Drosophila melanogaster: one gene and its partners. Changing the gene in region 1 together with any one later gene gives a genetic interaction. Each region holds a gene or a part of one and is shown in the gene's direction. Other genes may lie near its edges. The genes, in order: Mhc, bru1, wupA and up.

Region 1 (7,878 bases):
GGTTTGAACTTAGGAACTTAGTATCGTAATCAACATTTTTTCCGTAGTATGTCAGTGTTTTGTTTTAACATCCCAAGTAAATTTCTTTATTTAAAAATATGTTTTTTAAGGTCTTGAGTAAAGTGTTTCAATCTTTCAAGTATATTTATCAATATATTACACTATGTTTTGCTGTGTAAGTGCATGTGATCAATCATAGAACAATGAATACGCATTATTTTAAAAAGTTATTATTCGCTGTAAATGATCAATCAAGAGAACAATGGTGTACCAGAAGATCAGCATCTATTGCCATATTGTATACGAATTGTGTAGCTTAAGGATTGACAGTTGCAAGTGCTAATGCCAATTTTCCCGACCACTTGGAAAATAATTTTACGAGACGTTCAATTACCAGATATTTCGTAGTATGGCCAGATCCTCTGTTGCATAACACACACGTAATGCAGGAAGTATTCATTCATTTGTCATGCCATGTGCTACCTGGCAACGTCTGTATGTATGCAAGTACTTTCCGCCGCTCACTGCATCTCCAACTTGCCAAGAGAGATCTCTCGCGAATTGGATGTGGGCATGGGCACGGGATCGGTGCACCGGAGATGCGATGCAGATGCCGCCGAGTCCGCGACGTTGACCGACGGACGGCGCTCGAGGATTAGGGATAACGGGCTGGGGGCTGGGATGTGGGGATTGCAAAGAAACTGGCCGACGATGGATATTTTTATATCGACCATTTGGATGGGTTCCAATGCATTTAGACGAGAGTTATCTATAGACTATGCATGTATTTTGGTCACGGTTGGCGTTTTTAAAATATTTTCATTATATGTAAACCAATTGGTTGTGCAGAATTTTTAGGGAATACCATTCGACAAAAATTTCGGGCAGGGTTACTGATATCTTGAACAGAAACCGATTGGGCGGGAAGGAGTCGAAACACGTTGCAATTGCAGACACATTTAAGCCAACAAATCTTAAATTGTATGATACAGTGCGTTACAGCGATAAAGTTTTATACTTAAATAAATAGTTAAGAATTATTGTTATTCATAAGAACTATGAATAAATGTAATCTTTGATACTTGATACTGAAAACACCGAATGTGTTTGTCATACCAATCCGATTTAAATTTTGTAAAAATAAAAACTCTAGAAAGGTGCTAGATAATAAAAAAAATTTATAAAATATTTGAGCCAAAATTCTGCATTTTGTTGAATCTTTTCGAAAACTGCGTTAAATATGTACTTGACCCATAAATTATCTTCGTACTACTTTTGCCATCTGACATCGCTGACGATGATTTATGATCGGTTGTGCAAAGGAGCACGAGCCTAATAGAAAATCAAATGATCCACTAACCGACTTTATGGCTTAGACATACCCACTAAGCAACGTACCATATAGTTCCCAGTGATCTGCGTTTGTGTCACAACCAATCCTCGTTTCTACCCCACCGATAGAAACGCCATTCAAAGTGTCTTCTGTTTGGCAGCGATTTACGGTGGTGCTGGTGGTGCAGGTGCGGAGGAGGACCTCGCACATCGCAAAGTTGCGGCATCTTTGAAATTGCCCATTGCAAGCAATAATTGTTGCTGCCTCGTGTAGACAAGCACCCCATGTGCACCCCCCACCACCCCTCTTGGGAAAATGTTGGTGGCCCACCAGTGCCAAAATACACAAGAAGAAGAAACAGCATCTTGACACTAAAATGCAAAAATTGCTTTGCGTCAATGACTCAAAACGAAAATGTTTTTGTGCTTTTCGAACAAAAAATTGGGAGCAGAATATTGGATTCGCTTTTTTCGCATCGAATATCTTAAGGGAGCAAGGGAAGAACCATCTAGAATAATAAAGAAGACCAAAATGTATCGTAACTAAAGGTTTTTTTTATTAATTATTAAATGTTAAATATTAACTTATACCAACTCATTGGCTTTACAAGTACAACAAATAACCCCAAAATAATTTATTGTCAGGTGCTAAATTGTTGTTTGTTGTTCTTGGAATTTGTTTTAAATGCTCAATTTATGTTTTTGTCTTTTTGCCCACAATTCTGCTCGACAATGTCACAGATTTTGTTTCAGAAACTTAGCAAAAAGTATTATAATTTTATATGTGAGAAAAGACTAGAGAGCAGCAAACCCTGCACCGAAAATAAAGGAAAAAAACACTCACACTTGAATGAGAACTGAAATCTTTTTCAAACTATAAATATTCCTCAAAAAATGTTTGAAAGTTGTTTTTGTCCGAATTCATGAGTTGTTTTTTTGCGTATTCTTTTTCCGCTACACAATAATCATTGTTAAATATTGAATATTCAAGACGGACCAACTCATTACGAAAAGTATTTGTCGAAAATACCTTGCAGTGGGTGTATATACATTTATCATATAATTCTTTGCCAAAAATGTTGCACATGAAATTTTGTAATTTTGCTTAAAATTATGAATAATTTCTGTGTCGGAATTTGACATCGTTGTAAGAGGGGAGACTATTTCAATTCTGTTGGCATTTATCATAATTCTCTTTGTCAGCATTATAGATTTGATAAATTCTCGACAAATCGCTACAACACGAATTTCATAATGCACTCGTATTTGCAATCGTATTTGTATTGGATTTTAGCATTGAAACCTAAAGATTTTCGCATCGCATTGCTCTGAAGGACGCCGACTACATTGATTTGATGTGGCATTTCTCTGTCTATCTATCTATATCTAAAGTATCTCTTCAACTATGTGTTTTATTTCGTTTTTTTTGCGTGCATTGCAATTGCTTGCATGTTCTAGCCCATCTATGTTATTTTGAAGTTCACATCATTACTTTTGGCGGACATGTGCTTGCTATGGCCGATCCTTAGGCTAGATAGATCATCAATCATTAACTCAAAGGATCGGGTTTTTTCGTTCTACAACTGAACGATGACCAAACGAATGTTTGTAGCCATTGATAGCATACGATCGGTCTTCTCGAACAGCTGTTTAGCCACTGATCGTAAAGTGATCGCAGATTAGGAGGAAAACCACATAGCGCCGCCTGATCGCAAGCATTCCCCCTGTATTCCACCCACATTGGTGCCAGATCGGATTGGCATTGAGGTGACCAAAAACCAAAACCAGAACAAAAAGCGAAAAATGATCACCGAGAAAAACAAATAAAGATCCCACCATGCCATGCCATACACACATGTGTGCGTCTAGAAATGATATGTGAAATAAGTAAAAAGAAAGCTCCCCTTGGAAAGAGCGAGGGATTCCGGCGGAGAAGAATTGCCTCACGGCGGAAAAGTTGTCATTGAAATGAATTTTACTATTTGACTAATGGGAGAATTGCGAGAGAGCCTACGCAATGGCAATCGTCGGAGAAGGAGCTTTCCGCTCTCGATTCCGCAACGATCCTGATTGCATCATATGCTCACACATATACCATATCCACCATCCCGCAATCCCCCATAGAAATGCCCACTTGCTAGAGAAGAGGAATAGGAATCAGAGCAGCCAAGTGCTAGACCGAAAAAGGGAGCAAGAAAAACCGAAACAGAAACAGCGCCACGCACACCGATCGTCGAATCGAAAAGCTTTCGGGGTCTTACGGGATCCATGGGTATCAAGTTGCCCCGTATAAAAGGCAAGTTTACCGGTTGCACGGTTCAGAACGGCTTTCGAGCGCGTAAGTGCAACACCTTTGATGTGCGATCTCTGATTTTTGGATATTACCACCCAGCAGCAGTAGCGGTAGCAGCAGCATCAGCGGCAGCAGCAACAATTTGACCTTTTGGTCAAAAAGCATAAAACTAAAATAATTATTACTACCTATATATATTTATATATGCAACAAAATCGAGAAATTTAAAAAAGTGTGTGTGTGGTGCTTTAACTACGATCCGAGCGAAAACGGATCTATTAAAACTCTGTGACAATCAGAACAGTGAACCGGAATACCTCGGATTATCGTATCGAATTGGATTACAAATAACAATCTTTTCTTAGGAAGTACATCAGTTACTTAACATAACCTATAGGCGTTAATTTGTTTTCTGAGAAGTATGCAACTATCTTCAACTTCTTGTGTAACAAATCTTTGACTTTCGATCATATCAGCGAAAAAATCTGAAAGTGAAGTAACAAGGATATAAGGAAACTTCTTTCTTACTTTTAGGACTCTCACAAAAAACTAGTTTATCCTTTCTCGCCCAAGAATTTTGGAATAAAAGACTTTCATCGTTCTAAATTTCGACTACTTAAAAAATTCTAAAGCAAATAGATCATTTAAATGTCAGAAAGAGACAGCCAGCTGTTACTTCATCAAATGAAAAATTCGTGTTTCGATGTGAGTTCGAAATGCTGTAATAGCCATTTCGAATTACTGGCGAAATGATTTCATACACAAATACCTGTGTGGCCGAGACATATGCGTATGCATACTATAGAAAATAGATTTAGAATACTCGAATTCGTTGTCGGCTCATATACATGGGCGAAATAATTTCGAATATGTTTTAAAAATAACCAAAGACATTAGAAAGAGATCGCCAATACTTATACATTATGTCTATGTGTGCCATGTGGTAGCATGAGCCAAAAAGCTTCTCGAAATTACGAATTACATATAGACGAATATGTATGTGACTTTAGTTTCGAAATAATTTCGAGAATTTTAAAAATAACGCATTCGTTAAAAGTTCGCGTCAATTCGAATCGAATTTTCGATTGTCGATTTAGTGTGGATTGTCGAAAATCGTTCCGCCTTCGAAGTTTACTGAAAGGAATCATTGCGATCTCGTGAATTGCTTGTATGAGAACACGCCACCATATCGAGATACCTGTTCAAAATATCGAAATCGCGTTCCAAACGGTAGTAGTTACCAGTTGAGTGAGTTGTGGTGACAGTTTAACCTCTCTACATTTGTAATAATAAGCATTGTTTTGGCGTATCAATAGTCTGTAGATTTTTTCACAAAGAAACCTGGAGAAATGTACACAAATATCTAAATGAAAATTGGCGTTACGTAACAAATACCAACGCCCCGAAAATCCGTATATATGCAAAGCATTCTGATATATATATATATAAGTGGTATACATATACATATTCGTATCGGATCCGTGATCTATATTTAGGCGACAACCCACACAATTCACTTGTTGTCTGTTTATAACAAAAACAACAACACAAGCACCGACCAGGCCTAATTAACTTTGAGGTGTGAGATAAAATCAAAGCCACACATAAATAAATATCCGGTTACGGTAACGGGAATTTCGAAAGCGCGAAACGGGAAAAATGTTCATATTTGGAAATCGAAATTAAATTTCGAAATCCTATCCACGCACACACGCGTAGAACTGTTATAGTGTCCGCTATTGCTGCTGCTGTCAAAATGGGTCAAAAGCATAAAATCCATAAAAGAATCAGACTTCGAAACAAAATTCCAAAAATAGTATGCTTTTCTGAGAACCATATAATAAATATTATTTTTCTTTTGTATATTTACAGGGAAGTTTTGGGCTCACGACGCGATTAACAAAGAAATTTTGAAAAGTCCCAATATTATTTTTCGAGTTTTTAAGTTTCTAAACGAAATTTAAGCAAGATGCCGAAGCCAGTCGCAAATCAGGAGGATGAGGATCCCACCCCATACCTGTTCGTGTCTTTGGAGCAAAGGCGTATCGATCAATCGAAACCCTATGACTCGAAGAAGTCTTGCTGGATCCCCGACGAGAAGGAGGGTTATCTCCTTGGTGAGATCAAGGCCACCAAGGGCGATATCGTCTCCGTTGGTCTGCAGGGTGGAGAGGTAAAGTCATCGTCTACACGAGGCTTCAGCATAAAAAAAAAAAAAAAAAAGCTATTGAAGAGTCTTATGGTCGACCTAAAGTGTTAGTCAATTGTTACCCAATGGGAAAATCTTCTTGGTACTACTACTACTACTACAAGAAGGGTTTTTCAATGGATAGCATAAGACTGGGACTTTGTCATGACCTCATACACTTCAATAGCTTATAATGTAGCCACAAAATTAGAATGAAACTATAGATTTCGCCTACATATACGATTAGGTACGAGATATCAAATCCGAGAAGGTGGAAAAAGTCAATCCACCAAAATTCGAAAAAATTGAAGATATGGCCGACATGACCGTGCTTAACACTCCTTGCGTTTTGCACAATCTGCGTCAGCGTTACTATGCTAAGCTCATCTACGTAAGTGTTGTACTGCCAGAAACTCACTAATGTATGGGTATCTCTTCTCTCTCTCTCTCAATCTCAAAAACGAACTGCTAACCCAACGTCTAACCAACAAATGTTGTACAAAAACTAAACATAACCAATCGAACTGAATCCGACAAACCGAACGAAAATGATAAACAGACACGAGACTTAAAGAAAGATCTGCTCCAGCAAGTGAACCCCCCGAAATACGAAAAAGCCGAGGATATGTCCAACTTGACATACCTTAACGATGCCTCTGTGCTCCATAACTTGAGACAGAGATACTACAACAAGCTGATCTACGTAAGTAATTGCCGATCAAGGGTGGCACACAAGTATGCGTTCTATGTTCTTACCCAACCGCTTATCTACCGCCAATCACTCACACTTATGAAAAAAAGAAAAACATCCCAAAATTTTTCAAAATTCGATTAGAGCTGCAACTAGTCTCCGAAGCTTTGAAGTATTTAACGCAATTGAGTAGACTGCTAACCTTAGTCATTCGCTCCTTTTTCGGACTTATGAAACTCATTTTATTAAGCCCTATGAAAAAAAAAACATAACCCCAGCTAATTCCTCATTTCCTGTGACGTATGCACTAATCCAGCTTGTATTAAAACGAATCTTGGCCGTCCAGTCGGATGAACCGCACAACTGGAAAGAAAACGGTTCTACACACAGCACACACACCACACAATCAAAGCCACAAGAATTGGTTCTCAACGCACAATGAAAGTCGAGCTGAAAACCCCCAAGCAGACCATCAATCATTACCCCAATCCAACCAGAAAAAAACTTTAAACAAGTATCCTGAAACATCGTAGTTAGTTTTTTTTTTTAAATTACTTATAACACAAAACCGAACACCAAAAAACTGGTAGACCAAAAGACAACCGAAACTGTTACTAAAAATCGTAATTATAAGAAAAACTTATTTGAAACTTTCCTCTGTCTATGGAGCGATTACGAGCACTCGGAAAACTGAAAACTTAAAACCGAAACAGTTGCTAAAAACTACAAAAGACAACTGGAGTGGCTCTGAATCGCCCGATACAAAAACTAACTTTCCAACGATTCTAACATATATGAATTTATGCAAAGATCTTCACGATATTAACAAGCAACTTCTCTCCCATCTTTCTTGGCCAAAAAAACAGACCTACTCCGGTCTTTTCTGCGTTGCCATCAATCCTTACAAGCGTTACCCCGTGTATACCAACCGTTGCGCTAAGATGTACCGTGGCAAGCGCCGTAATGAGGTGCCACCCCATATTTTCGCCATCTCTGACGGTGCCTACGTCGACATGTTGACCAACCACGTGAATCAATCTATGTTGATCACCGGTGAGTCTGGTGCCGGAAAGACTGAGAACACCAAGAAGGTCATTGCGTACTTCGCCACTGTTGGTGCCTCCAAGAAGACCGATGAGGCCGCCAAGAGCAAGGGCTCCCTGGAAGATCAGGTTGTGCAGACCAACCCTGTGCTTGAGGCCTTCGGTAACGCCAAGACCGTGCGTAACGATAACTCCTCTCGTTTCGTAAGTAGTCCCGCACTCGATAGATCACCATGTTGGAACTGAACTAATTTGAACTTATCCCCTTGCAAACCAGGGTAAATTCATCCGTATCCACTTCGGACCCACTGGTAAACTGGCTGGTGCTGAT
Region 2 (8,013 bases), 4.6 Mb from region 1:
GCAGTGCTTCGCACATAAAGTTCAATGTTTGTGGGGGCAGATAAAAAAGAAGCTTAAAGATTCTTTTTTATTCGCTCGCTAGCAACCTTTTTGCAATGGGTCCTTTAGTGTTCTTAACATTGTTTTTTCTTTGTGTGAATTGTGATTGTTTTGTATGTATTTTTTTTATTGTTTTTACTTGCTTGACTGTGTGTAATATGTTGAAAATGTGGATTCCTAGTTCTTTCATTTTTTTTTCCTAACGCATGTCAAACATGAAAAGCAGCTTGTTTACGCTTTTCGTATACGATTCCTCCAGCTTTCAACATATGCTTCACTTATGTTCCAAGCCATTTGTTCGATATTTACAAAATAAAGCAGCTCTGACAAAACAAATTTATATTGATGACGATGCCTGCGAGTGATGTATGCAAATGGCTGTATTTAAATGGCTGTATCTTAAACATTATGCCTTTACAGCTGGCCAGTCCATTTACCTTAATCAAATTAGCTAACTTAGAGTAAACTTTTAGGACCTGAAATTAGTTTGGTAACAACCCTTTTGGGCTAAGTTAACAGGTGAGTAAGCTCAGGTATTAAATGGAGATGGCATTAACGTAGTAGACTTCACTTGCAGATGTCTTGAATGCTATTCAAAGGAATAAGTTATTTGTTCTCCAACCCAATTTATTTTATTTTCTATATTAAGAAGCTTTTAAATGTCATTGGGTTATATTACTAGAATAAAGTTTTTAAAATAGAATACAATTCGCTAGATCTTAAAAAAACGTTCCTGTTAGGGCTTTGTGGCCTAATTGTGACAATGAATACATATAATTTAAAAAATATATTTATAATCTTTAGTATGTTGTTTATTTAATGTGCCTAAATATCATGGAATTTTGAGTATCTTAATGCATAATTGACCAGCAAATATGAGTACTTAATGTTTAATGATAATGTATTTGTTAATTTGTCTTCAGAAAATACGTTCGTATGGGCTTCTTGCATTTGCAATGCCCCTATTTTAGTAACATTTTGCTCAGAATTCTGTGTGCAAAAGACAACAATGAGCAACGAGCTTTGCTTTTCAGTTTATCAGTTTTTCCCTACAATTACCATGGTTATCCTTGACAATTATTTCCGCACAGAAAACTTTCTAAATGCACTGGATCCCCTGTAATAATTGCCTAGCCCAAAAGACCCAACAAAAATACACAGCCTTGGTGGTGCCACCTTAATTGCAGGCGTCTTTCTCTAACCAAGTCAACTTTCCTCCAACCAGCACTCAGCACTCACTTATTATTAAGTTGTTTTCGAAACTAGGAAGAGGAAAAACCGGCGGGCGGAAATGGAGGAATGGAGAAAAGGAGGAGCTCTCCCGGCAAAAGTTAAATTATAAAATCGTCAAAAGTTGACGAAGACATTTTGCGCCTATGAAAACAAATACACGAGGAAAGTGCTCCACTAAAAAATAGGAGGGAAATGCGGGAGCAGGAGCCACTTAAGATGCTTAGCGCCATGGCAAGCGAAAATAATGACGCTCATAAAAACTAACTAAACACCAAAATAAAGCAAATATATATAGGTATATATATATATACATATATTTGTTGGGCTGGCTTTTTTAAGCTGGAACGACGCTCTCTGAATGACAACGATAATGATGTGCGATAATGTTTGTTGTTTCTTCGTTTGCTTATTTATTGTACTTATTCGTTTATTGTACTTTTTCATCCCACAGTGCTGGAAACAATGATAATGATAATAATGAAGATGTTATTGTGTTTCTCCTCTTTGTTGTTGTGCAATCTAAGACAACTGTCAAAGACTTTGCCAAAGGATTAGTCGACTCGGCGCCTTTCGCCCTGCTATACCCTGTAAAAGTTGCGCTAAGGATATATTACACATGGAGTAATTTGGATCAAATATGGGTTACCAATTTTTTTTTTTAATTTTTAATTTTTTTTAATATCATGTTGCATTTACGATAAAGAAATTTGCAACTGAGAGATTTTTTTTTGATTAATGACAAAAGGACATTTCAAGAAAAGCCTTTTTGAAATCGATTTAAAATTTAATTCATTTGTAAATGGTACTATAAAGAAGTTTTAAGTTAGGGATATATTAGGATATTAGGGATATTATCATATTAGGGTTTTGGAAATTGAAATATGAGGAGAAAATATATAATATAATAATATATAAGTAACATAATCTTTATAAAATTTGTTAACGTTTATAGTAGTATTTATTTTGGAAATTTTAAATCTACAACCATATAGCAATGATTTCAAACAATTCATGTAAATATTCTTCGAAATATTCATGCAAATTTGAAAGAAAGACTCCATGTAATCATCAAAAAGTAGCTTCCTACATTTTCTATAAACAACACAATAAGATACGGGGTATTCTCGCAGTCGCAACGAGTTTGTGTATCTCGTGACTGGTGTCTTTGCTCCTTGCCATTACTTTCGACCTGCTCCTATCGCAGTCGTAATTAAAATTGCACCAGACGTAGTGAAGTTTTGTACTTTCTTCGGCATCAGATAGTCCTGGAAGCCTCCCCTTCAATTTAATCGCTTTGACTGCATGCTGGTTGTAATTTATTTATTGCCGAAAATCGTACCCTCTACTCTTGATTTGCCCCTGCCGCCGCTCGTTGTATTTTTTAATTGATTAGAAACTCGAGTTTTGTTTTCTTTCTTTGCCTTCAATTGGCATCGAGCCAGGAAATTTTCAGCCTCATTGAATTTCTTTCGGTTTTTTTTCCACTCACCCTCTTGACTTTCTTTCTCGACTCGCCAATTTTAGCAAATTACTTTCTTGGCAAAACTTTTATATTTGTTGATTCATTTATTGCTAATGTCAAACGTTCGACTTGGTGAGCTGAACGACTGATATGAATCAGTGATAGCAATCAATTATGGTATCCAATTCATTTGCTTTTTTTTAAATTTAATTTAGTTTTATTTTAGCAAAGTTCATAAAAAATAAAAAATGAACAGCGAGAGCTTTGCATCCCAGTTGGCTGCGCTAACGCTTGTCAAATCGATTCAATATAGATTTTTAGTTGTAGTGTTTCCAAATCAGATTGTGTAACGTACATATAATTTTATAAAAGTTTATCAATTTTTCGGCTTATTGGTGGCAAAATTCTCAATGTGTTAACCTTTCGGCCGTACCGCGTCACTCTTCCATGCTTTTATCAATAATTCTTAAGAAGAAAATCTACAAAAAAATATACAAAGTATTTACCCCCACAAGACTACAAATGAAATAGCCCAGTTATCCGCTTTCGGCTACAAATTCTACAAGTGTAAAAAGGAAAATAAGAAGAAATATAGCAAATTCCCGCAGCAAGTGAAATAGGTGAGTGCAAGAAAGTTCTTCAAGTGTTCAGACCAAAAGCGGATATTCTAGTTGTCCTTGAGTGTGAATGGAAAGTGGGTTGGTGTGCTGTGAACTCGTCCTGTGTGCTGTGTGTGTGTGAGTGGGTGTGTGCGACACGGTGCTTGGGCTTCCACGCTGCATGACAGATTATCGCAAGGACCTTGCCGTCCTTTGAGTGTCCTCGACGGTTATTGAAATTGCTGCAATTGAGTTCGGAGTGCTCGAAGCTATTTAATTGCTGCCGCCTGCCTCCAAGAACTTGCTTTTCACCACTTCTGTCGAAGATGAGCTAACTATTTTGCTGATTTTTGGTGGATTTTAATCTTTATATCTCAGAAATATACTATCGAATATAATCATCTATACTTAATTTCAATATAAATGCTGGTAAATTTTTGAAAAGTGTATATAATATTGCTTAAAAAATGTTCAATATGTAAAACTCTTAAATGACTTATAGTTAGTTTCTAGTCCTTGTTCCATCCACTGTGTCTAATCGAAGCTTTTTGGCCATCTCTGGTTCGGGTCAATAGGAAAGGAGTAGGGAACAGAAGGAGCAGCTAAAAGTCCTCTTCTTTTTCCCGCAGGTGTTGTAAGCCAGCAACGAGTCCTGGAACTGAGCCAAAGCTGCTTTCTCTCAAGTGCTAACTAATTTCGTTGTTGTCCTTACCGCCTCTGCTCCACATCTCGGGCCCAAGGATGCTCTCTGCATCCTCGGGCTTAGCCTCATTCCCTGGCTCATCCTCATCATCGGCGTCTTCCTGCAGTTTCGTTTTTGGTGTCAGCAACATTTCTTCAACTGGTTTCGTTTGCCCTGCCAGTCAGGTTGTTGTCCTTTTTGGTCCTCTGTGTCCTTTATAGAGTTCTATGCGATTTTTCTCTTGTTTTTGATTTTTATTTTTTCATTTGCTCCTTCGTAGTGCAATCTTTTTGGCAAACTCTTGTGTGGCGCACAGTTGTTGACTCTGTTTCGGGGCCAAGCCAATTCCTTTTTGGCCTGGCCAAGTCATCTCTTGGCTTGTTTCGGCGTTTTATGCACTTGTGTGCTCCATACCTTTGGTCCACCCCTTTGCCAAATACGCTCTACACATATGATCTGGCTTCTGTTTCGAATTTTTATGGCCGTCGTCTCAGTTGTCCTTTCTTAACTTGGCCGAAAGTTGAGTTTCCTTCGTTGGGGCAAGATGTCTCATTTGGATCGTAACACTTAGCTTAATGTTTACGACGTTTGCCGTGAAAATAGTTTTCAACTGAAGTGAAATAGGAGGTTTTATAGTTTTGTTCGGGTGTATATTTTGCGAATAATAATGTTCCTCCTAATGACCACAAAAAAGGAATAAACGTTTCCTATATAGAAATTTTTTTTCTATTTCATAGAAAAAATCTTCTATTCTTCGATATGTTCAATTTCAGATCATAGCAACTCTTCATATATTTATCAGCTTTATAATTTTATGAAAAAAAGTAATATTTAAGTGAAATCTTTTTGCTTTCAAGATTTGAAATTAAATAAAGCTTTTATTAAAAGCTTTTGCGTCAAAGCTTCAACGTTGCTAATGGCAGAAGCTCTCTCAAGATCAGCTGTTTCTCAATGCCGAGCATGTGGTTGGTTTCGTTGTGAATGCCAAAAACAACAGCTGATCGCGCGGCGTGGCAGAGCGAAAAAGTAAAAATCTCTCTTCGTTTTTATCGAAATCGGCGCAGTTTCGCCTAATTTCTGCGGTGTTTTCGTGCAACACGACTGTTTGCCGATTGTAAATAGGTGTAAAACAACTTAAATGTGATTAATTTTGCAACTAAATCTGGACAAGTGAGTTGTTACGACATCGGTGCACCAAGTAAAGTTGTCTAACCCAAAATTTTCCCAGATAAAACGGCGAAAAACAAGTCAACTAAGAGAAGTTCTCTTCTTCAACGCCGATCTTCGCTCCAACATTTGCAACATTGATGGGGTTTTTTTTGTTTAAAAACATAGTTCGCAATTCTGATAAATTATTCGGAAATAAAACTCCAACTAGAGTTTCGCTATTGTCCAGATTTTGTGGCACTTCCTTGGCTGGTAAAATGGAGAAGGTTTATTTGAGAAATGCAAGTGATACCAAAGAATTGGACATTGTGTTTCGCTTTGTGAATGAGAATTTGAAAATAAACCGGGAATTCAATTTCCGTCGCCAGATGAATGAGCCCATTGATGCGATATTGGCCAGGATTCAGAGTAATATTATTGGCAGGCTTGCAAAGTCCTGCAAAAAATCAAAAATCAAACCGCCGGCAGAAATCAATGTTAAACTTCTGAGTGACAAATATGGTGAAAAATTCAATGAATTAACATTTGAGGATCTAGTCGTCACCCAAGATATCAGCAATGTAAAACTGCAGGTATTAGATACGGTCTACGATTTGGTGTTCAATCCACCGTGGATTTCATCCCTAAAATTTTTGCCCTCATGCATATTGGCAGGATTTGTAATATACCCCACCAATGTTCAGATACAATTCGGAGAACGTCAGTTCAGCAAAGCAGTTTGGTTCAAGGCCAAAAAGCCCACAGACACCGATTGGGAGGTGTGCGGAGAAGGATTTCAATATCTAGTGACTCCTGAGGATATTGGTTACCATTTGAAGTTCGTGGTGACGCCGGGTAATGCACTGGGAATGACGGGTCCTGTGGTGGAGAAGATAACCAACTCTGCAGTGCAGGAATCTCCCGGGCGTTGTCCATTCCAAGATCGCCAAAGGCACACCACGAATTCTTTGAGCGAATCGAATGAAATTCGTGTGGTGTCTTACAATTTGTTGGCCGATTTATATGCCAGTAGTGACTATGCCGGTAGCACTCTGTTCTCCTATTGCCCGGCAAAGTATCTGCAAATAGACTATAGGAAGCCACTGTTCATCAACGAGATCATCGGTTATAACTCCGATATTCTCTGTCTACAAGAAGTCGATCAGCGAATATTTGATTTTGATTTAAAGGAAATTCTAGAACAACCGCCGTATAACTATCACGGCATAATGGCCCCGAAAGGCAAATGCGCTGAGGGAGTGGCAATTTTCTTTCGGAACTCGCGCTTCGATCTCTTGGATTCTCAAATCCTGCATTTGGGGTCCAATATTCCCGCACTGCCCGTATTTGAAAGCCTTTGGAATAAGATCAAAGTTAACGCACAATTAGCAGAACGAATCTGTGAACGGTCCACCACTCTGCAAACTTGTTTGCTTAGAATAAAGGGTACCGATAACTACGTTCTGGTGGCCAACACGCATTTATATTTCCATCCGGATGCAGATCACATTCGCCTGCTGCAAATGGGATTTTCCATGCTATTCGTAGAGCAATCTATTAGCAAAGCTATAAAGGACTTTAACATAAGTAGCCACAAAAACATTGGACTAATATTTTGTGGCGATTTCAATAGCGTTCCCGAGTGTGGAATCTACAAGCTGATGACGGAGCAGCTCGCCGAAAAAACACTGGAGGACTGGCAAAGTAATGCCGAGCAGGCGGTTTCGAATGTGGAACTCGCGCAGCCTTTCAAAATGGCATCAGCCTATGGGGCACCGGAATATACCCACTACACCACCCTCTTTGCGGGTTGCTTGGACTATGTGTTCTACCAAAACGATCGCTTCGAAGTTCTAAAGGTGGTGCCACTGCCAACGGAGGAGGAGTTGAAAGCCAATACTGCGATACCATCGGCTGTTTTTCCATCCGATCATGTTGCTCTTGTAGCAGATCTCAAATTTAAGTCAGATTGATAAATTTTTGGGCTTGCATATAAGAAAAATTAAGAATATCTCGGGGATTTCTCAGCATAAATAAATGTATACGTATGCCAAATACTATGCTTAAATGTAATAATACTCATTTCTTCTTTATATACAAAACAAAATTCGTTCAACAAATCCTGGCCTATTAACAAATGCTTCTTCTCCTTTATAAACTGTGGCATATAAACAAAAAAAAAGAAACTGCGTAGATTTAAAGTAAAACACGGAAAATAAACCGAAATAAATTGCGGAATGAAGTGACAACAAATTGAGTAAATCCCTGAGTGGCTTATAGCTCGCCTGCAAGCAGCTGGCTTTCCCGGCATCTGCTCCTGTTTTCCGGCTGATTGCAGGACGCAGAGCAATTAACGTGAAAATTCGCCAAGGAAAAACGCTCCGTTGCGGAGGTGGCGCCAACAACAATGGCGCGAAAAGCTGAAAGGAAATCCGAGAGCGAAAAAATATCCCAAGCCAACTGAAGTGATTTTCGCACTAATTAACTGCACTTAGTTGACACATACCAATCTATTCACACCGCCACTCCCACACAAAGTTGTCGTTGGCCATAATCAGAGCCAGTGCAGCATTTTAATTGGTTTCCACAGTGCTGCCAATATAAAGTCCCACATGTGCAATCGGAATTTTCCACAGAAATTATTAGAAAGCAAATGAAATGTGGCCCGATGTGCGGCGCACTCTCGTCGAAAATAATAGTACTCCTAACTTGATTTCTATGTGAAATGACTTTTGCTAAATACCATAAGATATTTTAAAAAATATTTTTAAAATATTTCAAAATCTCTAGAATACTATAAACTATTCTATGCCATAAATTCAATAAATATAGATGCATATTAAAGACTGCTA
Region 3 (7,825 bases), on another chromosome or scaffold:
CGGTGCAGGGAGGATAAGGATGCGAGTGCCTGTTTGTGTGTATATAACCCTAAATGGGTCAGCGACAGCTGGGGAGTGGTGTTGGTTCTGGTTATGGAGGGGGAGTTCGGCGGGCAGACGACAACGACGACGACGACGACGACGACGACAGCAGCGACAAATAGTTGTCAGGTAGAGCGAACGTTGCAAGGCCACGCCCACAGTGGGCGGCTCAGAGGGGGGGGGCGGGGGTGGGCGCTTATGACGTTTGTTTTGCTTTGACGCACTCGCAGCCAGCTGACCATCGATGGTTCGCCTTTAACCCCGAATTAAGCTCGATTCACTGGGCACACCACACTGCCCACCTTTAAGGCCTCGATTCGTGCAAATATTCCGCCCATGTTGCAACATTGCTTTATTAAAGTTTACTTATTGCCAATGTATACACATTTTCGACGCTGTAAGACATTACCGCTTTTCTAGTAATACTGGTCGGCATTATAGCCCACCCCCGTCCGATTCAATATTTCCTGTTTGCCAAAGGCCCAAAAATAAGGCACAATATTAAAAGTGTTTTTTCAAACGAAAAACATTTTCGAAATTCATAAATTAAGGCAAAAATTGCTTGGGCGCGCAGCGGAATTGTTTAAAAACGCTCGGAACGAGAATGAAGGCGAAAATAGATTCGTCCAGACATAGACGAACTGATCAAGTTCCCTACGAATAACGAAAACATTTTGCCCCAAGCTAACCCACTGCCCTTCCGCAGTCGCCGTTTTTTCGATTTCCCCCCTGGAAGCCATATTCTAAATTTAAATGGGGAAAAACAAAATAGAAATCATCGAAAATACATTTCGAAATAGAGCTAGAACAAGCCGTGGCAAAATCAAAAACAAGCAACACAAACAGAAACACAAAATGCCAAGAACAACGAGATGAGCAGGGAAAAGCAACATTATTTTCAACAATATTTTGTTGTTGCTCTCCCTGCTGAAAGTTTATAGAATCGGAACATACGTATAGACAGTCTATGTATATCTAAATTCATATACGATATATATATATATATATAGACATGGTTTCGTGATCGAAACGTTTTATTCGTCTTTCGTTCTTGGCGAAATTCGAAAATTACTTTCAACCAAAGTTGCAAGGCGTTTCGTCTACGGGGCGTATGCGTGATTTTCAGTAGGTGTGTTGCAGCGTCATTCGCACCGTTTACCATTATATATAGAAATTTATATATATATACATATATATATATATATATATATGTGTATGTGTGTATTTGGCCATATTGCGTATATACATTATATTTAGACTGACGATGCCAAAGTAATTCAGCTAAAACATTGATATTAACAAGACGGATATAGGCTATATGTTCGTACGATTCGCTTGGAACACATTATTCGAAAGCTTAAAGTTATGTCAGCGGCCAACATGCAAGATAAATAGCCGAACAACATGAAACAGATCGTTAAAATGGTTTTTCTAGATCAAGTCCAAAGTGGCACGGTCTAAGAAAAACCTTTTAAATGAACACAAACGGAATAATTACTTTAAGACCTGGAAATGATATTGGATGGATTAAATAGTAATAATCTTCAAATTAAATAAGTTAAGAATCTATGGGATTCCCCAATTTTATCTAATATATTTTCAGCAATATATGTATGTAAGGGTTATTAACCTATTTTTCTTAAAAACTGCAGTCTTCTAAAGAAAACAGTAATTTGTATTCAGTCAACTCATCGAAATATTAGTTATGTTTATGAGGATAAATGTTCGATAGGAGTTATAAATCTAATCTTTAAAATAACGCTGCATGCACCTATTTTAAGATAATGTTTAGTTTCATTAGTATTTGCTGTTGAAGTAGATTACATTGAAAATGAATATATATTCAATATATGCATATCCCAGCACAAGCTTATTCCCTGGATTTTCCAGAATTAGCATAATATTTTATAGTTTTTTAACCAGGGCTGGCGAAACCAGAGATTGCAGCCAGTCGCCGGCCCTGATTTTTTCATTGCACACCGATTGCACCGCCATCGCATAGCCTCCCAACTGGAGCAACAAAACCTATTTTTATCCATTGCATTGAATTCCAAGCGGCTCCGTTTACACCAGCACACACATCGAACTGCAGATACGATATTGTGAACACCGATGCGGATACAGAGATACAAAGATTCTCCAAGCGGTATTTTTCATAGGGTGGTTTACGGGTCTGCAGTTCCGACGGGGCGGGAGTTACGGGATCGGGATCGCAATCGCAATCGCAATCGCAATCGGATTCGGATTCGGAATCGATTCGGCATGCCACTCGGCTGCGACGATCGTGAGCCGAACACTTTTCGGTATCCATTTCGATTTTGCTTATGGGCTGTGCTCTGCCATGTCAGTTTTGGTGGGATCTATTTTTGGATCTCACGCCCAGATACATAACCCCGGCCCCCGAGCCACTCTCGCTCTCTCTCGCTCTCGCCCGTTCGTGAAGGACGGTGGGCAGGTGGGCGGCTAACGTTTGGCTTTCGGAACATAACGGAACCGAGCCGAACGAGACGATGCGATACGATGCGATCCGATCAACAACGATCCGTATCTGTATCCGTTGGGTGGCTAGCCGCTAGAATATAGTCTGCCGTGGATCGTCGGACCGTTCAGTCTTTTTGTGTCGTTCAGTATCATCCGATTCGTGTGATCGACAGCATAGCCGAATTTTTTTTCTTTTTTTTCTAATTCCTTGAAGGTGAGTGCTTGAAGCGGAGCAACATTCAAAAAGCCAAGAAAAACATCACCATCAACATTGACAACGAGCAACAATGCAAGAACAAGCGGAATGGAAAAACAGAAAACTGCAAAATGCAAAATGCAAATGCTAATGCTAATGCAAAGAAAAACAAATGTGAAATCCTCAGTCCTTTCTCATATGCTATACATATATATATATATATTTATATTTATATGTATGTCTGGACCTGACCAAAATCGTGTGCGTGTGCCCAGAGGATTCAAACATTTTTTTTCAAACAATTTTTTTGCTATTTTTTTTCAAGTGATACAAGTTAACAAGTGTCTAAAACTGCATCGAAATACTTTTCAACATTATTTTGACTTGATTTTGCAATGAATTTTTTTTCACGGATTGGCTTGCCAATTACGTAAGAAGTTGCCGTGTGTGTGTGCGTGTATGCGTGTGTGTGCGTGCCGAAAGCTAAAAATGTATCCCGCAGATACAAGATACATTTCAAAAAAGCTAAAATCGCTCGAAAAGTGCCTGAAAATAGACCACAGCGAGAACAAGAGATCCCGAGAGAGAGAAAAATCACACACACACACGCACACACAGAAAATCATACACTCACACACAGAGAAACAACACGCACACGTCGCCTACGTAAAATAACTGGATAAATGCTCTCCGAACTTTTGGATTTCATATTCGATACGAATATCGTTGCTCCAATTTGACTATTTTTTTTCCGTGAACATATAAACAAATTGTACGGCAAATCATAAATAGCTGCCATATTTCTCGCATCCGAGATTCGTGTATCTATCAACAGGTTTATTTTTAAATCAGTCAGATACTAGATACAGTAGATGCCATCCCACTCGCTCTCATTCTCAGATGTATGCCGAGTGGAGACATCGACTATGCTTAAATTCGTTGTGCATTTCTCGCAGTGTACATAGCCGAAGGTCGTCATTGTCAGAAAATTTTCACGCCTTACCTTCGCTAAGGTGCGCAAATTGCTGGGGCTAAATATACGCCTAGCTCCCTAGCAATTCGTTCTACTAAGCCATATGGCTTTGTAGGTGTGAAAACCCCAAAATATACAACTTCTTCCAAAGGATATAAAATCTATAACGGATCTCCTTTTGACTCATTGTACATTATTTTAGTTCATTGCTAACAGCATAGATAATTTGTTTAACGATTACTTTCAACGCTAGTAGACTTTTTAAAGTTATATATGTACTTTGTGAGGTGTTAATTCTTCGACTTCATTTCAGTAAAAATGTATACATATACATACTATACGGATAGGCTAGCAAATAAATTCTGATTAATTCCTCAAGATGTAGACATGGTTTTTCGTATGATGAAATCTCATAATGTTTACTTAAAGATTCCCAATATGTTATTCAGCATAAAATGTATTTTTAAAATGCCATTACAACGATCAATCATCTGATCAAGTATGCATATGTAAAAGTTACTTCTATACTAACGATTTAACTTTTAGCTTGATTAAAACGAAAACATATCGTAGGAAAGTTTCCATTAACAAAATCAGCTGGCTGAGATCGGTCAGTTGGGAAATGCTATTCTCTCTTTGCTCACTTGAAATCGGATATCAAAGAGAGCAACTAGAAAAGCCACAAAGCAATACAGTTGTCTTTTTCTGGCAGCTAGACGCCCACGCCAAAGTAAATGTGCGAAAGAAAGGCTAAGCGAAGAGAGCGGGAAAATGAGCGTTTGCTGGGGTTGTCCTCCCATATACGGCGTGAACCAATGCTGCGTATACGTAATATGCGGCATATGCCAGCAATATGGCGCATACGCACTGTGGTACCCCGGTGAGATCGTAGGCGTGTGCGAATGGGAGAGAGAGCGACTGATTTATGGAACATATATATATATATATATAAACACATACTTATATGTATATACCTACATATAGCCGTGTATATATAGGGCAATGGAAATGATGTCATCGAACATTTCCATTCACCATTCACCATTCACCATTTGCCTCCAGTTCCAGTTCCTTGAGTTCACCTCTCGATTTCTCTTACTTTCAGTAACCAAAAACACAAATCAAAATGGCTGATGATGAGGTGAGGTGAGTATCTCCAACGGCCCCCTTTCTACCGCCTTTGAGAAACGGTTGATTAACCTTTGACCCTCTTCTTCAGTTAACTATTTTGGGGCATTAATCGCAAGCACTGTTTTGGAAATTGGAAGTGATTTGGACGGGATTAAACCTGACTGGATGTGGATTTAGGTAAGCAAAGCTCCCGAACAATCCAGAAGCTTCAACAGCCCCCCACTTGCAACCACGCAACATGCAACCCAAGCCTTTCTTTGCCTTTCTCTTGCTTTCACAGGATCGCTGCGCTTTGCAACCCTCTGAATCCCAGCCATTTCTTCCTTTCGATCAAGGAGCACAGATAATGATAACTGTCAAGTCTGACTGAAAGCCATGTCTGTTATCGTTAGTGTGTGTCTATGTCTCTGTGCCTTGCTTTGTCCCTTTTTTTGTTATCGTCGCGTTTGTGCCTGGAGAAATTTGAGATCTATTTAAAGTAGTTTAAAATCAATGAAATATTACAACCAATAAAACTTGGCTGACCATTCTTATATAATTTAAATGAGTTTAAAACCTATTTGATTACTTTAAATAATTGTGGATGATTGAGAAATGTTAATAGTTCCTTTGAAGTTTAAGCAATTTTCTCCTAGCCTGGCGTACTTTTTCGATTCCTAGAACTGCAACTAACCAGCAATCATTTAACTTGATTTCAGAAAAAGGCAGCAGCTCCGGCCGCAGCTCCAGCGGCGGCGGCCAAACCGGCGGCTCCGGCAGCAGCCCCGGCGGCCAATGGCAAGGCTGCTCCGGCGGCCAATGGAAAGGCTGCTCCGGCAGCTGCCGCCGCTCCCGCCGGTCCGCCCAAGGATCCCAACGACCCCAAAGTGAAGGCCGAGGAGGTACACTTGTGTACGTGTGTGCCCGTTCAACTTAACGTCCATGTCAAAGTCCAAGTCTCGTGCTGTGCAGTGCTGTGTTCGAATATCATATCTAGTGTTGTGTCCAGTTTTGGATGTGAGCAAACCATGCTGATACCCGGATTGTTCGTTCATTTAATTTGCAGGCTAAGAAGGCTAAACAGGCTGAGATCGAGCGCAAGCGTGCTGAGGTGCGCAAGCGCATGGAGGAAGCCTCCAAGGCCAAGAAGGCCAAGAAGGGTTTCATGACCCCAGAGAGGAAGAAGAAACTCAGGGTAAGTTTCCAGCATATACCAACGCTTTGTATGATCGCCAGCTAATCAAAGCCCTCCACTTGCAGTTGCTGCTGCGTAAGAAAGCCGCTGAGGAGCTGAAGAAAGAACAGGAACGCAAAGCGGCTGAACGTAGACGCATCATCGAAGAACGTTGCGGCAGTCCCAGGAATCTCAGCGATGCCAGCGAAGGTGAGTAGCCTCGGTCCTCGAACCGAATGATTAAGATCCCTGATCAGGCGAGTGGAAATCCCTAGAGGTTTCCCTGCACCTGGTCACGGTTCGAAAGTATAAAGGATGAAAAACCATATAATCGAAATAAACGAAATCAATCAGTAAAACAGATAGGCGGCTTATGCATTCAATATGTTTAAGCCCGCCTGTCGCGAAGCATAAACCAAAATCGATAACTGAAAGTTGAACAAGTGTCATCTATCGCATACATACATACAATTACATAACACACCAACACGAAGACACCAAAAACACACACCAAACACACACAGGATAACCGACCTCCCACATCGGATCACATTGACGTCGCAGAGGAACCATAGTCTTATTATGCCTGAACCACTGTGTGCAACATGTATCTAAATGTGTCTCTATCTCTATCTCTCTTTTGCCGCACCCATGCCCGTTAAATATCCAATCGATCCACACACACACACCACCACCACCACCACCACCACCAACCCTCTCCAACACAACCAACACCCCATTCCACAACCACAACCAACTCCGAACCACTCCGAAAAACCGAATATAAAAACCCCATTGTGAACAGACACACTCAAATCTCTGATCAAGCAACACTATGACAGGATTAATAAATTGGAGGACCAGAAATATGATCTTGAGTATGTTGTTAAACGCAAGGATGTTGAGGTACACGAACACCACCAATTTTATATACGCCACCTAAATACGCCTAAGTCTATCCACGATCAAAATCAAAAGCTAACGCTTAACAACAACAATATAAACACACCTTCTGTCAGCTGTCTCTTTCTATATATCTAAAACACTATCTCACTCTCAATCTGTTTACTGTATAATACACTCTATATATGTTCGTGAAAAGTGTTATTCGCCCAGGCACTAAAAACTGTACAGAAACTCAATGGCTCAATTAGCTCCGTATGCGTATCCGTATCCGTATCTCCGTATACTCACCCGATTAATGCAGGTCTCTTTCTATATGTCACTCCAGTGAGGATGTGTTCTGTTTAAGAATGGAAGTGTAGGTGCCATTTCTCGAGTAGATTAGTCTCACAAAAACACACTCACCCACTCCCACACCAAGAAATACCAGCGCACTCACACACACACACACACGCACAGTCAAACAACACCTCCAAATATCCAGATACAGTTCGAACCGTTTTGATAACCACACTTCGTTCCGCAGATACTATTCAGAGTGTTTGTAAGGACTACCACAGTAAGATACTGAAACTGGAGTCCGAAAAGTACGATTTCGAGTACGATGTAGCCAGAAAGGATTATGAGGCAAGCAGCTCCGGTTTCCAATAGTTTCAATCTCTCGCAGATCGTAGAACATGTTGATAACTATCTAAATATGTAGAACTACTTCACTAGCCGAGGCAGCAGCACAACTAGCCCAAAGATATATGCAAATATTTCGGAGCTCTATATACATTAGTGTGTGTGTTTGTCCGGCGGACAAAAGAATATAAAACTAAGCACTTCGTAGAAACCGTAGTTAACACCATGTACTTTTTGAATCTAGTTTTCATTTTGGGAGAGAGCTGTGCAAACGAGGCCCCCACAAAAAATATCGAAGTGTTTTTGGCACCCGAAAATCGTA
Region 4 (8,071 bases), on another chromosome or scaffold:
AGAAACAATACAAGAAATATATTTACTTTAAATACAAGATAAAATACTATTCAGAAAAAAAGGATAATTAAATTTTTTGATTTTAATGAGTGAAGTTACAAGTTTCACGAGATCAGAATTAATGCATGGTAAAAAAATGTATTTACTTTTATACAAAAATACCCGTAAGCATCATCCAACTTACCAAAATCGAAACTATCATTACGAGTATGTTGAAATAGTTGTAACATTTTGGTTTTAGTCGCGATTTTGTTGGCTTGACTACTGATACACATTTCCAAGTGTCAACAAGCCGAAAATTAAGTCAAAAACAAATTCTGAAAATAAACGTGTAATACTATACATATAGTAGACGGAGCATTAGGTACTATATAGCCAGACTGTGTATGATGGCTCTGTTCTTAAACGTTTTTATATTTTCTGCTGTTTTCATCTTGGGGTTTCTTCTATGTGTCTTTTTTCTTATGGATTTTTCCGTTGTTTCCTTTTCCCCAATTTTTTTTTGCTTTTTTTAATTGGTCTGTTTTCATTTCATTTAATTTAGTTAGAGCGTATTTTTAAATCGAACATCCAACATATAGATTCTAAAATTGGCACACATCGCTTGTTTGTTCTTTACAAAATATGTTTGCTTGACCTGATCTTATTCATTGAAAAGTTTATGAATTATATATTTTAACTTTAAACTGGAAAGTGCATTGATTTAATGTGTTAAATACATTTAAGTTTATAATAGGAAGCTCTTACTATTCTGGTCACTAAAATCTAAAATTGAAAAGAACATATTTCAGAATTTTAACTGTTTTCTTGCATCATACACAGTAGAAAAAAAATGCAAGTGACACAGCCAACAATAGCTTATTATTTAAGATTGCACCGATTGCAATCAATTCAAATTATTCGACACTTTGGATACGCTGTTCATTCATATAATCCCAGGGCCATCGTTCTTGTCTGAAATCAAATATTTTTCCAGATCTTGGATAATGTTTATGTTATTCCTGATCTATGCAGATATTAGCCACAGTTCCCCGTAAACATCGCCCCAGAAAGCTAACCTATAGATAGACATATAGAAGATATTTAAACAAATACATATACATACTTTAATATATATATATATATATATATATTTTTTATATCGGGCATCTTCGTGCATACGATCGGCACTAAAAACCGAAGGCTACAGACGAATAGCGCCCACACAAAACGTCCAAAAATAGAACAACAAAAATTCGAAACTGTGCTATTTGTTATTCCCTGATTTTCGAATATTCTGACTTGCCTTTCTAACATTCTGATATTCGGACATTCAGAAGATGATGCGAATTGAAATTTACTTGAATACGGCATACGGCATACCCGACTTTCCACCCACTTTCACGCCCACATATGTATATATCTGCACATGTCCGTACTTCTGGTCTACGGATCACTGAGCTATTTGGCCCGATGTTTGCAATAGGTTCGTAGTTGTTTATTGAACGGAGGATGTTATGTGAATCCAGCCAGATGGCAGGCAAAAATTGGAAGCAGCTAAAAAAGCGCTTACAGATGTCGTTTATATCTGGACAGAACACGCCCGTACCATTTCATGCACTAAATCCCAGATAACTCGAACTGCCCACCTGTGTCCCATTGCGATTCTGTAGTTTTGTGGTTTTTGGCAAGCCATGCATAATACCTAGACCCATACATATCACATACACATACATATCTAATTATCTATGCATACATATCTATCTATCTGCGTATCTGGTGTGTGCATTTTGCATTTCGCAGAGGTGCAGATACAAAAATGTTCTAAATTTAAGATACTTGGTAACCAAAAACGAAATCAAAACAAATGCCGAAACTTTGCGACTATATAGTAATTTTACTATTGGAGAATATTGTAATATATATAATTTTAAAATAATATTCATCGCATGTTTTTAATTTACACAGAAGTCTATTTATTTGAACAACTTGTTTATGCAAGGAATTAAGAGAAGTCTTAAATTAATTTTTCTATAATCATATATAATGTAATGTAATCATAATATAATGTAATGTAATCATATATAATGTAATCATGTATGTATAAAAATTTTTACCCAGATTTTGAGGAACTTTGAGATAGCCCAAATATTTTTTTTTGCAGTATTAATAATTTAAGAAGATACAAGTGCAAGCGAAAAACTAAAAATTTTTTTTTTTTTTTATATTCTTCTAGAATTTATATCTAATTTTATGAAAAATTTGGCAAAAAAAAAAACAACGGAAATCGATGTTGATGAAAGTACATTTTTAAAATATTGTAAGTTTTTGCTTTATTTTAATTTTATTAATACTAGAATACAGAAACAAAATTAAATACAGAACAAAATATGTTTCACTACCCTTACTTAATACAAATATTTCTTATGTGTTATGATGTTTATTAAACGATATGAAAAAATTAATTTTTTTGGCAAAATTTACATATAGGAAAAAGAGATTTTGTCAAATTCTTCAAATTGATTTTGTATGCTTCGAAAAAATAACCCAATAAAGAATGAATTAAATTCGATAGCTTAAAGTGCTGCAAGGCGCGTAAGTGTATCTGAAACTATTTGCCAAAAGTATCTGTTAGAAAGTAAAATAAAAAAAATAGCATAGAAAAAGGAGAGAAATAAAAAAAGAAAATCGGAACAATGACGAATAGATTCAAGTGTTAGACAAATGGCAATGCGATGGGGCCACCTAAGGCCGTTCGACGTCAGCAGTTCGATCGCGATATAGATATAGGTAAATAAATATATATATATATATATATATATATAGGGGGTGATCGGTGATCGCGGCGGACTGGGTTGGAGATTTTGTAGGGCGTGCACTCTGGGGTTCAAATGCTGCAACGATCCGCTGAGGAATCCAAACTATATGTGCTATATATCGGCACGAACATCTGTACGTATATATTATAGAGCAATATATGCAGGCCGACTTTTTAATGGCTGTGAAATTTATGCTCTACGATATTTGATTCCAAAAACAAATGTGTAAAATGCCGCCAACGCACCGAACGTCCGTATGCGCTATATACTTATTGTATGATCTAGTTATGTGCGTGCGCCATTATGGTCTAATGTATAGTATATACTAATATCGTATGCCTCATCTCGCTCTGGCCAAAATGGAAAATTGGAAAACTCGACGGCGGCTGTGTGCGTGTACAAGTTTATGTTTCAGCTGCAGCCCACCTGAAAAATTCACCCAAAACACATCGAACACAGCCAACACAGGCAGGCGCACCCACCACCACCCACTTGTTGCCACATCGGCCAGCGATATGTGGCATATAGCGCTGGCCTGCTCGCACACATGGCCAGCTATTGGCTATATAGAAAGGCGATCGGTGTGTGCGTGGAAATGGCTTTTCCGCGAACGCGACGAAAAATTCTTTAACATAACGTGTAGCAGCGCTTTTCATCGTCAGTTTGGTTAGTCGAACCGCAGCATTCGCTCCTACGACGTCAGCTGCTCGGACTTCAATTCAATTTGTTTTTCTCCCTAAGTAAGTTTTTTTTTTTCTGTTTCTGCTCTACTGCTGCTTCACATCTCCTTCAAATGCTGCATCACCAAAAAAATAAAAAGAAAATATAAAATAAACTTGTGTGCCTAAAAACGAAAAGAAAGTTATCGAAAACGAGAAAACCGAATCCTTTGCGAATAAACCACGAACCACGAACATCAACAAAAGAAAGTTACGAATTGGAAAATCCTAGTGTTATATAACATTTTATTTTTTTTTTTGAAATTTTTTTAAAGTGCAATCTACGAACAAATAGTGCGAATAAATGACTTGAAAGCCACCAAAAAAACGAACTCTGAAGCCAACTTTTTCAAAAAATTTTTTTTTTTTAAACTTTTTTTTTTTATTATGGCTAAAGGCTAAAAATAATTTGAAAAAATTCGCCCAGGCATTGGCGGCGCCAAAAACAATATTCAACGGCAACTACAACAACAGGATTAGCCGCAGCAGCAACAACAACAACAAAATCAAAAGCAACAACAATGCCAGACAGGAATCTATACATATAAATATACATATACATATATGTATATCTTTTTGCTTTCTGAAAGTGTTATATGATCTGAGAGGAAAAGTTCTCAAATTTTTTTCGACGAATTTTAAAAATAAATTCGATTCGTATGTGTGCGCGAGCGAGTGTGTTTTTACCTTGGCAAAATGTCCAAGATACACACACACACACACACAGAGAAACACACACACACAGATACGTAGAGTGAAAACTTTTTTCAATAGCTTTCCGCGCAGGCGCCGATCAGATATGTTAAAGATATAGTAGGCGAAAACGAGACGGAACTATAGCCACCCACACAAGATCGATGGCGAATAGAGATCTGGAGATTTTTGGAGGATATATATAGGACTATAAATGGAAACAGGGCACAGATAGATTGAATTAAAGAAAGGGAAATTTGTAGAGTAAATTCGATAAGGATATAATGACAGGATATAAAAACAGCATATGACAGTTTTATGTTGCTAGGCAGGAAGTAGCTAACACTTACTCAAACTTTGAACTTGAAAAGACAAAAAGTAAGATTCAAAACCATGTTTTTGAAACTAACATGTATGATCAGTAACATTTTTGTATATGTAAGTGTGAAAAGACGATAGACGTATATTTCTGATAGTCTGTCGGATGATATTTAGATCATTACCAGTTTCAATTGAAAAGTTTGTTCAATTTTTCCAGAACTTTTCTCAATACATTTCACATCATTTCCAAGCACTTGCCCCAAAACTGACCCAGTTTATCTAAGGCTAAAAATACAAGCTCAGCAATTGCACTTCCACGCAAAAGTGCAAAGATTATAGAAATAGAATATTCATAATCATAGAAATTTCAAATAGCATATTAAATATATAAATTCGTGGCATAATAACTGGCATAGATATATACAGGCGATCTATGAATGGCATTTGATTTGATTTTCTTTTCATTACACACAAGTACGCCCAAATATATATCAATACATATACATATATAAATTGAAAAGCTTCTTTAGATTTTCCGATTTAGTGCCAAGGTAAAAAAAAAAACGAAAATTTTCAAAAAAGGCTTTGTCCGAAGCTTTTTGATGTTTTCGGAAGCTTTCGGCTCTCGGGAAATTCAATACTGCCCCAAAGTCTATTTTTAATTGAGAAAAAATCGGAGGAAAATGAAAAAACACACATACATAGATTGGACTACGACTCTCTCCTTCGCACACACACAGTTATAGATTGTGGATATAGATAGCATGGGAAATTAAATAATTTTAGAGCAGAGCGTACGGAATTTATCGTTTATTTTTTTCTTCTTGAATTTGAAAGATTATGATGTGAGGACGAGACATTGTTGCCGGCTATAAAAAGACAGGTCGCCCTGCCTACATATACACAGCGGAATCGCATATACATATATATTATATACATATATATAGGGGGAAAGATCCGTCTAAATATAGAGTTATCGCAGGGCGATCAAAGGCTGCTTCAAGTACAGTGAAACCCTGAATAGAAAATAGACAAGGGGTTATCAAAAAGGGCAATCATTTGTTGACTTGTTTGCACACCTGTATTTCGCTGTTCTATTGTTGTTGCTGCTTTGGCTAAAAAAGGGGTTATATTTAATAAGCATTATTTTTAATATCAATTGAATTCAAAAAGAAATATAATAATGGAACACATTCACGTTTTTGGTGTCTTTCCTATTCTATTACAATGGCTTCCTAATTTAATCTTAAATATATGCATTTGAAGACTAAACTAAACTTTTTATTTTCTATATATTGTTATTGCAGGTTTTTTCAACCCTAAACCGTAGCCATGTCCGACGATGAAGAGTACACGTAAGTAGAACCCATGGAATATGTAGGACAAGATGCAAATATTAAGTATACGACGCGTATGACCGCGAACAAGATTTAAAAGTGTGTAAAGTAAACAGATAACTTAAGTAAAGTAGCAAAGTTGAAGAGAAGTATTCGATGGTCTCGTTTGAACCCTTGTTGTTATACGTACTAACTAATTCAACGATCAGATTTTTGTGGATTCTTGTAAGAGAACTTTTTGTAATCACATTTACCAGTGGCACCTATTTTGATCTGTACTCCTTTCTATCTATTTCCACGCATTGTCATCCCTGAACCCGAACCGAAAAACCGACCACGATCCCAAAAACCTCCACAACCACAACCCATGAATCTGTTCGAACAACCGCTAATGTTGTCGTTTCGTTTCTTTTGAAATCAACAACTAATAACAATCAACAACTATTCAACAACAACCACACGACAATTCAACAACAAATCAACAATATCACCTCTGCACCCGTGTGCCGTGTGTAACCCTGCACTTTCACTCCAAAATATATATATAAAAAAAAACACCTTATTCAAAAATCTTAAACCAAAAAATATAAAAAAAAACCAAAATTCGTTTAATTACGAACTCGAAAGCAGCTCCGAGGAGGAGGAGGTTGTCGAGGAAACCCGCGAGGAGACGTAAGTACATTTTTGTTGCCGATTTTTGTCGACATCTTTTGTTGGTTTTGGTGCAGCAGCCTAAAGAACTCGATTGGTGTTCACTTATGTCTATCTTTTTTTTTTTTTTGTTTTTGCCCTAACTATAACAAATTTTTTGATTTTTTTCGAAACCGAACCTTGCCCACCATTTTGTATTCCAAATTTTCTATATGTGTTGTATTTTGTCAATGTCTGCAATATAAAAAACCACCCTTTTTTTAAAATTGGTAGAAATATGTATTCCCCAAAAAAGATTTGAAAAAAAAAAAACACCCAGAAACCCGAAACCAACCCAACATTTTTGTTTTGTGTACTCGTCTGTAAATAATTTTATTTGTTTATTAATTTATCTTTAGTTTTTATTTTTTATTCTGTTTTGTGTACATTTTTGTTATTTCTTTTGGTTTTTGTTTTCAATGTGTTGTTGTGTGTCTATAAAAACCAAAATTGAATTTAGAATTAAAAGTATACGATCACAAAATCAATATCCGATAATTGTACAAAATTTACTAATGGAACCCGAGAGCAAACCCCACCCACCCACTGTTCACCCCACACCCACTCAAGCAGCGAGTTCATAGTTCATACCCCCTCCCGAAAAAAAAAACCTAGCGAAAAATTGGCAAATTGTGTATATAAAAGCTGTGTGTATCCCCACCACCACCACCCACCACATGTGTATGAAACTGTGTTCAAAATAATGGTAGTAGTAATTTTCTATAAAAATAGAACAAATATTGCGTATACGTAGCTCGGAAAAGTCATCGATTTTAATAAGATTGATACAAAATAGACAAAAATTGATTAATTTATTAATATTAATACCAATTTTATGTTAAAAACAACTAAACATCCACTTATCCATTGCGTATATTTGATTATCATTTAATAATTGAACTATTATTTTGAACCCAGTCGGATTTTTACTGTGTATTTTTGTATCACTTGTAACACGTCTTTTGTCTATCTGTCTATCTATTTTTTTACCATCGTATCTCCCGACTCTCCCCACAAGATAATACATTTCCAAAGCCGTAAAACGCAATTTCCAAATTCTAAAAAAAAAAAGACTTTTGACCAAAAGTTAACTTTCTGCCTATCGCTGGCCTGGCTTAGCAAAAGTGTTGTTGCCTATAAGACTTGGAAATCATTGATATCAATTCTGTTTATCTCTCTCTTTCTCTCTTCCATCTCTTTTTGATCTCGTTCTTGTTGCAGGAAGTAAGTAAATTGTGTGAGAAACCAATGAAACGAAGAAAGAAAGACCTATAAAGATCCCACATATCTGTATAAAAGTTTTTTTTTCTCCCCAAATTACTCTTTGCCTGGCCCCAAAATTACGTATATGCTCGTTTGCCAATTTCTGAAAAAAATTGAAAACAAAAATTCAAGTTTTTGTGTGTGCATTTCTGCTCCATATGCATCAGAGAACCAGTTCCAGTTCCAGAACCAGCTCCAGTACCAGTTCCAGTTCATACTGTACAAAGATTCGTTGCTTGGAATCATTTTT

Evidence for each region.
Region 2: of Mhc (region 1) and bru1, changing one suppresses a phenotype caused by changing the other (phenotypic suppression), as found in Drosophila melanogaster (one study listed by BioGRID).
Region 3: of Mhc (region 1) and wupA, changing one suppresses a phenotype caused by changing the other (phenotypic suppression), as found in Drosophila melanogaster (4 studies listed by BioGRID).
Region 4: of Mhc (region 1) and up, changing one suppresses a phenotype caused by changing the other (phenotypic suppression), as found in Drosophila melanogaster (2 studies listed by BioGRID).

What each region holds. Positions count from the first base shown.
Region 1 is NT_033779.5:16,763,087-16,770,964, forward strand, and holds the start of Mhc (myosin heavy chain), read left to right. Parts: upstream 1-3,647; 5' UTR 3,648-3,670; intron 3,671-3,839; exon of another isoform or gene 3,840-4,024; intron 4,025-4,690; exon of another isoform or gene 4,691-4,873; intron 4,874-5,497; 5' UTR 5,498-5,594; coding exon 5,595-5,798; intron 5,799-6,060; coding exon of another isoform or gene 6,061-6,204; intron 6,205-6,372; coding exon 6,373-6,516; intron 6,517-7,370; coding exon 7,371-7,751; intron 7,752-7,824; coding exon 7,825-7,878. UniProt on the Drosophila melanogaster protein: Muscle contraction.
Region 2 is NT_033779.5:12,202,777-12,210,789, forward strand, and holds the start of bru1 (bruno 1), read left to right. Parts: upstream 1-3,066; 5' UTR 3,067-3,354; intron 3,355-4,932; exon of another isoform or gene 4,933-5,439; coding exon of another isoform or gene 5,440-7,134; exon of another isoform or gene 7,135-7,334; intron 7,335-8,013. Other genes in the region: CG31759 (uncharacterized protein), read left to right, coding at 5,440-7,134.
Region 3 is NC_004354.4:18,111,619-18,119,443, reverse strand, and holds the start of wupA (wings up A), read left to right. Parts: upstream 1-2,618; 5' UTR 2,619-2,737; intron 2,738-4,709; exon of another isoform or gene 4,710-4,797; 5' UTR 4,798-4,818; coding exon 4,819-4,833; exon of another isoform or gene 4,834-4,838; intron 4,839-4,911; exon of another isoform or gene 4,912-5,000; intron 5,001-5,521; coding exon 5,522-5,704; exon of another isoform or gene 5,705-5,714; intron 5,715-5,868; coding exon 5,869-5,997; intron 5,998-6,062; coding exon 6,063-6,186; intron 6,187-6,781; coding exon of another isoform or gene 6,782-6,882; intron 6,883-7,405; coding exon of another isoform or gene 7,406-7,506; intron 7,507-7,825. UniProt on the Drosophila melanogaster protein: Troponin I is the ATPase inhibitory subunit of troponin in the thin filament regulatory complex. Involved in the development and maintenance of muscle and nervous system. May also be involved in the cytoskeletal apparatus.
Region 4 is NC_004354.4:13,597,885-13,605,955, reverse strand, and holds the start of up (upheld), read left to right. Parts: upstream 1-3,377; 5' UTR 3,378-3,538; intron 3,539-3,590; exon of another isoform or gene 3,591-3,727; intron 3,728-4,301; exon of another isoform or gene 4,302-4,588; intron 4,589-5,838; 5' UTR 5,839-5,863; coding exon 5,864-5,886; intron 5,887-6,175; exon of another isoform or gene 6,176-6,495; coding exon of another isoform or gene 6,496-6,498; coding exon 6,499-6,540; coding exon of another isoform or gene 6,541-6,544; intron 6,545-7,779; coding exon 7,780-7,782; intron 7,783-8,071. UniProt on the Drosophila melanogaster protein: Troponin T is the tropomyosin-binding subunit of troponin, the thin filament regulatory complex which confers calcium-sensitivity to striated muscle actomyosin ATPase activity.